2 linked regions of the Caenorhabditis elegans genome follow. The protein of the gene in region 1 interacts with the protein of each later gene in a pairwise test. Each region holds a gene or a part of one and is shown in the gene's direction. Other genes may lie near its edges. The genes, in order: lmtr-2 and ceh-92.

Region 1 (3,277 bases):
GAAATCATCACCATCATCTGAATCGTCTGTAGTGGTTGTAGAAGAGCCAACGAGTCCGTCACAATCTGAATGGAGTGTTTGCAGTGAAAAGAATGTTGAGGTTCGTTTTGTCGCTGAACCATAATTTTTTTTTCGAAAAATTTGCACCAAATGTTATTAAAAGTGCTGCCCAATTATTGAAAATCGATAGCAATGTCAAACTAGTTATAGGAAATTCCATCAAATGACGAAGATGACGAAAAGGGACCATTGACACCTCGACCTGAAAGCGAAAAGAAAGAAGAAGGATGGGTTAACTGGGATGAATAATTCAAATGCTCTTTTTTCACTAAATTCACTTCTTTTTCGATATTCTACATGTTCCTGTCAATAATTCCACTGTCACTCCTATCTCTTTAAAGCTTCTAGAATCAAATGGCTAGCATCATTCCCCCATTTCTTTATTTTATGGAATTCTTTTTTATATGTATATACAAAGTTAGAAAGGTCGGTTTTCCTTCTTCGAATAATCTTATCTCTCCTCTGTTGGTTTGTAAATAAAAATTGCATTTTTATTTTATTTTCCACATTTTTGATTCGCTATTTGTGGTTTTCCATTCCACTAATGTATCTGCAATTAAAATCAAAGCTTGAAAATGTTTTATCATATTTTTTCAGAAAGATGAGCCAAGGGTATGATAATTACGATGATATGTACGATCAAAACGGTGCATCACCGGCGCCGAGTCAAAACGAAAAACCCGGGAAAAGTGGGCCTGGTTTTGTTGGAATCAAGTTTTGCCCAGAATGGTAATTAGTTTTATATTATTTAGGAAATTATTTCCGGCAATTTCACAAAGTGGCCGATTGCGCCTTGTTGTTTCAACATTTTTCATTTAAAATTAGTGTGAAAATATTGAAATTAAATTGATTTAACTGGAAATATCATTTTCAGCTGGAACATTATCGAGCTTTGTTTTTTTTTTTGAAAATCGGTAACTTGCATGCCATTTTTAAGCACTTTCTGAAGTTTTTCAGCCGAAAATAATGTTATTTTCAGTAAAATCAACTGAATTACTATATTTTGATACTAATTTTAAACTAAAAATGTTGGAACAAAATGGCGCAATATGCCATTTTGTAGAATTGCCGAAAGAAAATTGCACCCACCTCTGGCTCAAAGCTAATAATAAAGACAAAATGATGAAAATTTGAAAAAAAACATCAAAATTGTTAAACTTCAGCAATAATATGCTGTACCCACGAGAGGATAAGGAATCACGAGTTTTGATGTATTCCTGCCGGAACTGTGAGCATCGTGAAGTCGCCGCTAACCCGTGTATCTATGTGAATAAGCTCGTTCACGAAATTGAGTAAGTTCATTGTCAAATTGACTCATTTTCTAAATCAATTGGATTATTTCAGTGAGCTCACTCAAATCGTCGGAGATATTATTCACGATCCAACGCTCCCGAAGACTGAAGAACATCAATGTCCAGTCTGTGGCAAAAGTAAGGCTGTCTTCTTCCAGGCTCAAACAAAAAAGGCAGAAGAAGAGATGAGATTGTACTATGTATGTGCATCGCAAGATTGTCAGCACAGATGGACGGAATAAAACATAGTGTCCAATTGTTTTCTATTTATTTGAAACGTTTTCTTAATCGTCAATTGTTGTTTTATTCCTTATTTCTAAAATAATGTTTTTTCGGATCTCCATATGTTCCCTACCTGTTCCAATAAATTCAAATCATCATTCAATTTTTCGATTATATTTTTTCTAATTCTCGGTTTTTACCGTACTCTTTGGTTATTTTCAAAATTAAAACTTTCTAACTAGTAACCGTAATCCAAAACTTTAAAATAGATGCTGAAACAGAAAGCGCTGGTTGATGTTCTCGGACAGGTGAACACAAGCGGTGTTGATGGTTCGTGGCTTTTCAATAAGGAAGGATTGCTCCTTGCCTACGTCGGAAGCGAACAGAAAGCCGTTGCATCAAACGTCTCATCTGCACTTATAGCCAGTGTCTGGGCTGCTCTCGAGAGAAGAGGTAGATTTTTTAAAACATGCTCATAATCAGTCTATTTCAACTGGAAAATTACCAGTTCACATTCTTCAAAGTTTGAAATCAAACACCTCGATCAAGTTGTAATTACAGCCAACGATCTGAAAGAAACTATTCTCGTTCTGGAGAATGGAGTAATTGGTTGCACACTCGTCGCTCGTACAATGCTTCTGGCAGTCAAGGCCGACAAGAGTGCCGATTTGGGAATGGTCCGCGCTAAGCTTCATACACTGGCCGCCTACCTCGAGCAGCCGATTCTTTCAATTTCTCACGATTTGGGATGATCGATGTATTATCTTATATTTCTATCGGGTCTCATTCATCCCATCCAAATTCCATTTTATTTTTTTCCAATTTACTAACAATGAATAGATCATTTCACGCCATTCTTGTTTTTTTTAAGAACTTTTAAAATATAAAATACTTATTCTTTAACATGAAATTCATTTAATTGTACAAAATTGATGAAAATTGATGATCATGAAAGTGCATTGCTCAGGAGAAATTATATTCAAAAGGGAAAAAGTTCGAGTTTTTTTCTAATTTTTTAGAACTCTAATATGGCTTTAAAAAGCCCGCCGTTTGGTTGAAGGTCTCGCAACGATTTCAAAGGAGTACTGTAGTCCGTGCGACACGTCCTATTTTCTACCAATCGACACGTCGCAAAACGTCGGAACGATTTTTTCTGTAATATTATTATTTTATCCATAAAATATTCGAAATATCGATCGATATTCCCTCAAAAAACCTGTTTTCTTCTTTACTTCTCCATTTTTCCTTGATCTTCACCTCGAAGTACGCTTTTTTTACTCGTTTTCAGTGTTCTTAATTATCAATTATTTTGCTTTCCAGCAGATGCCATTCACTGAAGAAGGTCAGGTGCTCTCATTGGGCCCGAGAGGTCATGCAGATTACACAGAGACTGAATTGACGATATCACCGATTTCATGGATCGAAGAAGATGCAATTTGGACATTTTTGTACAATAAAATTCATGATGAATCAGCAAACATTGACAAAAAGAATGTTGATCCAGACAGTAATGCATTATGGGAGGATTTTCGGACGAAGACCGGCTCGGTGAGACAAGTGCGACGATTGAGATCACAGTGAGTCGTGGAGAGATGAAATTATTCACAGAGAAAAACTCTAAATTGTTTTATTCACATTAACTTTCAATTTCCAGTTATTTCAATGAGATGGTCCGAAGTTTACACTCAGCGTGCCTTTCATGC
Region 2 (4,961 bases), on another chromosome or scaffold:
TATATTCCACCGATTTTTAATGTTTTCGGTGTATTTTTGCTCGAATTTTAGAGAAAAAGTTAAAAAAAAAACGCTTTTAAACGATTTCGAACTTGAATTAATTAATTGCTCTGATTTACGCTTGTAAGCGTGCTTTTTAATCGAAAATTTGCATTTATTTTGACTTTTTCTCTAAAATTCAAGCAAAAATACACCGAAAACATTAAAAATCGGTGGAAAATAACAAAAAATAAAATAAAATAAATGAATTTAAAAACGTGCAAGCGCGCTCCATCGAACAAATCTAATTGGCGGAAATTCAAATAGGAATTAGGTGAAAACTGTGATTTTTTAAATTTTCAAAAAATCATATAAAATTTAGAAAATTTTTTTGAATTTTTTTATCATGATATTCGGTCACTGTGGCCCCATAGGCGTATTTTAAAGAAATTTCCCACCTTACTATCGTACGGCTCATCTGGAACAAGAATCGGGTCACCTGGAAATGGCGTTTTTCGTTTTCCTTCTCCAAATCTTCTTATTATCCGTGTGAATATCAGATTCATCTTGAAAAGTTGCATAATTCACGCTAAAAATGGCTAATGAAAATAATTTAAAAAAAAACGATTTTTCGCTTCAAAAAAGTTCAAAATTGCCTCAAATTCAGAAAAAAAAGAACTCTAGTTTTCTTGAATTTGTGACTATTTTGAAGGTTTTTGAAGCAAAATCCGCGAAAAAAAAGGAAAAATAGGTTGCAAAGGCAATAAAAACCCTTTAAATGGCTAAAAATGAAAAGAAATGAGCCTGCAGAAAGTGTGCTCTATTGATAAAATATTGATGGCGGCAGTTTAAATACTGACGCAAGGAAATTCGAATGGCACTGGGAATTATGAGCTAAAATATGGGTAAAGATATGAAAATAAAAATAAAAATAAAAGAAATAAATCAAATTTAACAGAATAAAAGGTGAAAATTATTTATTTTATTTCTTCTCAACGGGTTTTTTGGATTTCTTCGCCACCGGCTCCTCCTCGTCATCCTCATGATCTGACGGAGGTCGATTCCGGAGCTCATTGAGCTGCTCAAAGTGAACCGGATGCATTCGATTCTCTCGCCCAAGGAACCAATATTTGTAGTGGCGCTTTTTGTTCTGAAAAATTGAGTGAAAATTGAATATTATTTTTTTTCAAGAATATGGAGAAAAATAAAGAAATCTCACATTTTGCAAGTGACCAAGCTTCTCACACCGATCAAATGCCTCTCGGATGGACGATGACGTGGATGGAACGTTGGCTTCGTCGCTGAAGTTTCGTAGAATGCTCAATTGCTCGAAAAGCTGGAAAAAGAAGGCTTAAAATCTGTGGATTTCGACTGAAAATCTTCATACATCCGGTGGATTTTCTCCTGGAGCTGCTGGCGAAGCTTCTTCCGGCGCAGAAGATGACGTGGCTTGTTCAGATCGTAGAATGCTCATTTGCTCGGCGAGCTCTTTGGATAAGGGCTTTTTCTCCATCTAAAATGGATTTTTTTTGGTTTTTAAGAGTTTTTCAAGAAATTTGGGGAAAAACGAGTAGGAAAAACCATAAAAAACGAAAAAACCGAAAAAAAAAAAACAAAAAAATATGTCCAAGTACGGTAGTCATTCTGAATTTTTGCGTCAGGCGCATTGCGTACTCTGTGTTTTTCCCGCAAACACCGTCACGTCAGAATGCACAAAACAATTTTTTATTCGAATTTTTCGCAACTTTTAAGTGATTTTCCACCAGAATATGGAGAAAAATAAGGAAAATCCGCTTGTTCCATCAGAAGAGAATATCATCGAATGGTGTGAAAAAGAAGCGCAGCGGCTCGAGCGTAAAAAGTGTGAAGCTTCAGAACATGTGAAGGAGGAGGTAATTTATTGAATCTTAATTGATTTTAACTGTTTTTTTCCAGCAAAAACTCTCTGACGATGACGAAAACGATTTCCATTTCGAGGAGTTGGAATCTCCTCCACCACCCAGAGAACCTTCACCCAAAGCACAGGGCTCCCTGTACAAATTCCCCGGAGATCTACGATATTTCAAAGAATTCAAGCATCCAACAATCCAGCAAATGATCTACATTTCCGAGGATTCTGGATATCGCTACGAGAGAGTTTTCAATCGATTCTGCGAACTTCGAAAGCTCCAAGGTCTAAAATGCCTTCGAAATGACACGTGTCGCCGGGTGGCCAAGTACTTTTCGCCGCTTACCGTCTATGATGGAGCCGATGACGTTACAGCTCGCAATTTAATGCTCCAATACTTCAAAAGATTCAATTACTCAGGGCCTTTGCCCTCTACTGGGTGTATTCACTTAGTTGTAGATCGCCTGGTCTTGCCGCCTGATTTAATTCGAGATTATTACGTGAATTGGTACAAATTCTCTGACGATGACACCAATGATCAGGTTTTTAATTGAAAAAACTGAAAAATTATGAATTTTCATCAACAAAAAAATTGCAGAATTCCCAATTTGACAGCACTGAGTGGCCATTTAATGTGTCTGATGATTTCGAGGATGGAATGATTCCTGCCGACATGGATACAGTGCAAATAGACCATGATTATGGAAAATCGGAGGTTAAAATTGCGATTTCCGCTGACAAATCTCATTTTTAGGCATTTTGACCGAATTTGCTTCAAAAAACCCCCGAAAATTGGCTTGAATTCAGAAAAATCACAAAAAAAAACAGAAAAAATTGGGATTTTTTCAATTTTCACTAATTTCCTCCAAAATGATAGCTGCGACCAATCAGCGATTTGCTCCGCCCACTTTTGAACCAATCAGATGAAGTGGGCGGAGCGAATCGCTTTTCTTTTGTTATTTTTCTGAATTCAAGAGAATTGTGTGTGTTTTATTTGCAAGAATAAGAACTGCGACCAATCAGCGACTTCAAACTCCGCCCACTTCATCTAATTGGTTGAAAAGTGGGCGGAGCAAATCGCTGATTGGTCGCAGTTCTCATAATTGAAAAATCGTGTTTTTTCCGTTTTTTTTCAGAATTTTACCAAATTTTTGGATTTTTTGAAGCAAATTCAGTCAATTTAACTTAAAAATGTTCCATTAAATTGCCAGAAAAATGATGTTTTCAGTGAAAAATTCAATAAAAGTAGATCAAAGTATGATTTTTCAGCACGAAAAACGCGCCGAAATCCTGAAAATCATTCGAGATCGGCCGGATATGACTGTGGCGGAGGCGATCAGCTTGTGCCCAATTTACGGAGTCGATTTGAGGGAATTGCACGCAACAATTCTCAAATTTCAAGAGGATGAGGTCGGATTTAGCGGGGAAAAATCGCTGAAAGTTGCTGAAAATTGCACAATTTTCAGGAAGAAACCGACAAAACTCAGTCAGAAGCTGAGGGCGAAAATTCGATGGATGAGGAGTTTGAGACGATTCAACAAAATTTCGATGATAATGACGATGAAGAGGTCCGGATTCTACGTTTTTTGGCGAAAAATTGGATAAAATCGCTGAAAAATTGATCAAAAACGTGCAAAAATCAATAATTGTTTTTTCGCCAAGAGGGGGGCGGAGCTTGCCCAGTCACGCCCACTTTTTGGCCAATTTTTTTTTCTAAAAAAAAAACAACCGAGAAATCGGGTTTTCCGGATTTCTTGAAGCGTAGCCAAGAAATGGGCGGAGCCTAATTTTTGTGTGATTTTTAAATTTTTTTTTGCAATTTTTTCAAATAATCTCACAAAACAGTCATTATAGGGGCGTTACCATTTTTTCCATTGCCAAGAAATGGGCGTGGCCTAAATTCGAAAAAATTTATACGAAAAAATCTGGAAGAATCTAACTTTTTCTCTGAAATTTTCAAGTTTTTTTATTTTAAAAAATCTCACAAAATACCCATTTAGCCAAGCAATGGGCGGAGCTTAAAATAGGCGTGGTCCCGATTTTTCGGCGAAAAATTGGAAAAATTCGCCTGAAAATTGATCAAAAACGTGCAAAAACCAAAATTTTCGCCAAGAAAGGGGCGGAGCTTGCTCAGTCACCCCCACTTTTTTAGCGATTTTTTTCTAAAAAAAAAACAACCGAGAAATCGGTTTTTCCGGATTTCTTGAAGCGTAGCCAAGAAATGGGCGGAGCCTAATTTTTGTGTGATTTTTAAAATTTAGATTTTTTTTTTCGTCTTAAAATTTATTTTTGCAATTTTTGCAAATAATACCACAAAACAGCCATTTTATGGGCGTTACCTTTTTTTGCCAGAAAAACCAACAAGGCAGCGTCAATATCCCGAACCATAGCCAAGAAATGGGTGTGGCCTAAATTCGAAAAAATTTATACGAAAAAATTTGGAAATTTTTAACTTTTTCTCTGAAACTTTCAAGTTTTTTATTTAAAAAAATCTCACAAAATAACCAAAGTGGTGGGCGTGGCCTAAATTTGAATATTCGAATTTTAAGCCCCGCCCATTTCTTGGCTAAATGGTTATTTTGTGAGATTTTAAAAAGTTAAAAAAAAAAAAACTTCTTGAAAGTTTCAGAGAAAAAGTTAAAAATTTCCAGATTTTTTCGTATAAATTTTTTCGAATTTAGGCCACGCCCATTTCTTGGCTAGGCTTCGGGATATTGACGCTGCCTTGTTGGTTTTCTGGCAAAAAAATGGTAACGCCCCTAAAATGGCTGTTTTGTGAGATTATTTGAAAAAAATTGCAAAAATAAATTTTAAGACGAAAAAAAAAATCTAAATTTTAAAAATCACACAAAAATTAGGCCCCGCCCATTTCTTGGCTACGCTTCGAGAAATCTGCAAAAAACGTTTTTTTTTTGAATGAAAAATCCATATTTCGGTCAATTTCGGTCATTTTTTCTCAAATTTTCGAAAAAAAAAAAAATCAAGAAAAATTCAAAATTTTCAGCTATTCGTAGATCACGAGGAAGAAGTGACATTGGCCAATGAATTCCCTGCAAAAAATAATGATTTTCCGTCGGATTTTGAGCTTTTCAAT

The links.
Region 2: the proteins of lmtr-2 (region 1) and ceh-92 interact in a two-hybrid assay, tested with the Caenorhabditis elegans proteins (one large-scale study listed by BioGRID).

The regions. Positions count from the first base shown.
Region 1 is NC_003283.11:8,009,673-8,012,949, reverse strand, and holds lmtr-2 (Ragulator complex protein LAMTOR2 homolog), read left to right. Parts: upstream 1-1,843; coding exon 1,844-2,027; intron 2,028-2,135; coding exon 2,136-2,326; 3' UTR 2,327-2,459; downstream 2,460-3,277. Other genes in the region: Y97E10AR.6 (BSD domain-containing protein), read left to right, coding at 1-100, 211-309; DNA-directed RNA polymerase II subunit rpb-9, read left to right, coding at 605-789, 1,224-1,352, 1,405-1,594; Y97E10AR.4 (SPK domain-containing protein), read left to right, coding at 2,898-3,151, 3,229-3,277. UniProt on the Caenorhabditis elegans protein: Regulator of the TOR pathway, a signaling cascade that promotes cell growth in response to growth factors, energy levels, and amino acids. May activate the TOR signaling cascade in response to amino acids.
Region 2 is NC_003281.10:11,579,911-11,584,871, forward strand, and holds the start of ceh-92 (Homeobox-cysteine loop-homeobox domain-containing protein), read left to right. Parts: upstream 1-1,689; 5' UTR 1,690-1,748; coding exon 1,749-1,871; intron 1,872-1,914; coding exon 1,915-2,409; intron 2,410-2,465; coding exon 2,466-2,582; intron 2,583-3,136; coding exon 3,137-3,277; intron 3,278-3,333; coding exon 3,334-3,435; intron 3,436-4,871; coding exon 4,872-4,961. Other genes in the region: Y66D12A.7 (Glutamyl-tRNA(Gln) amidotransferase subunit C, mitochondrial), read right to left, coding at 438-545; Y66D12A.6 (uncharacterized protein), read right to left, coding at 962-1,129, 1,199-1,315, 1,367-1,492.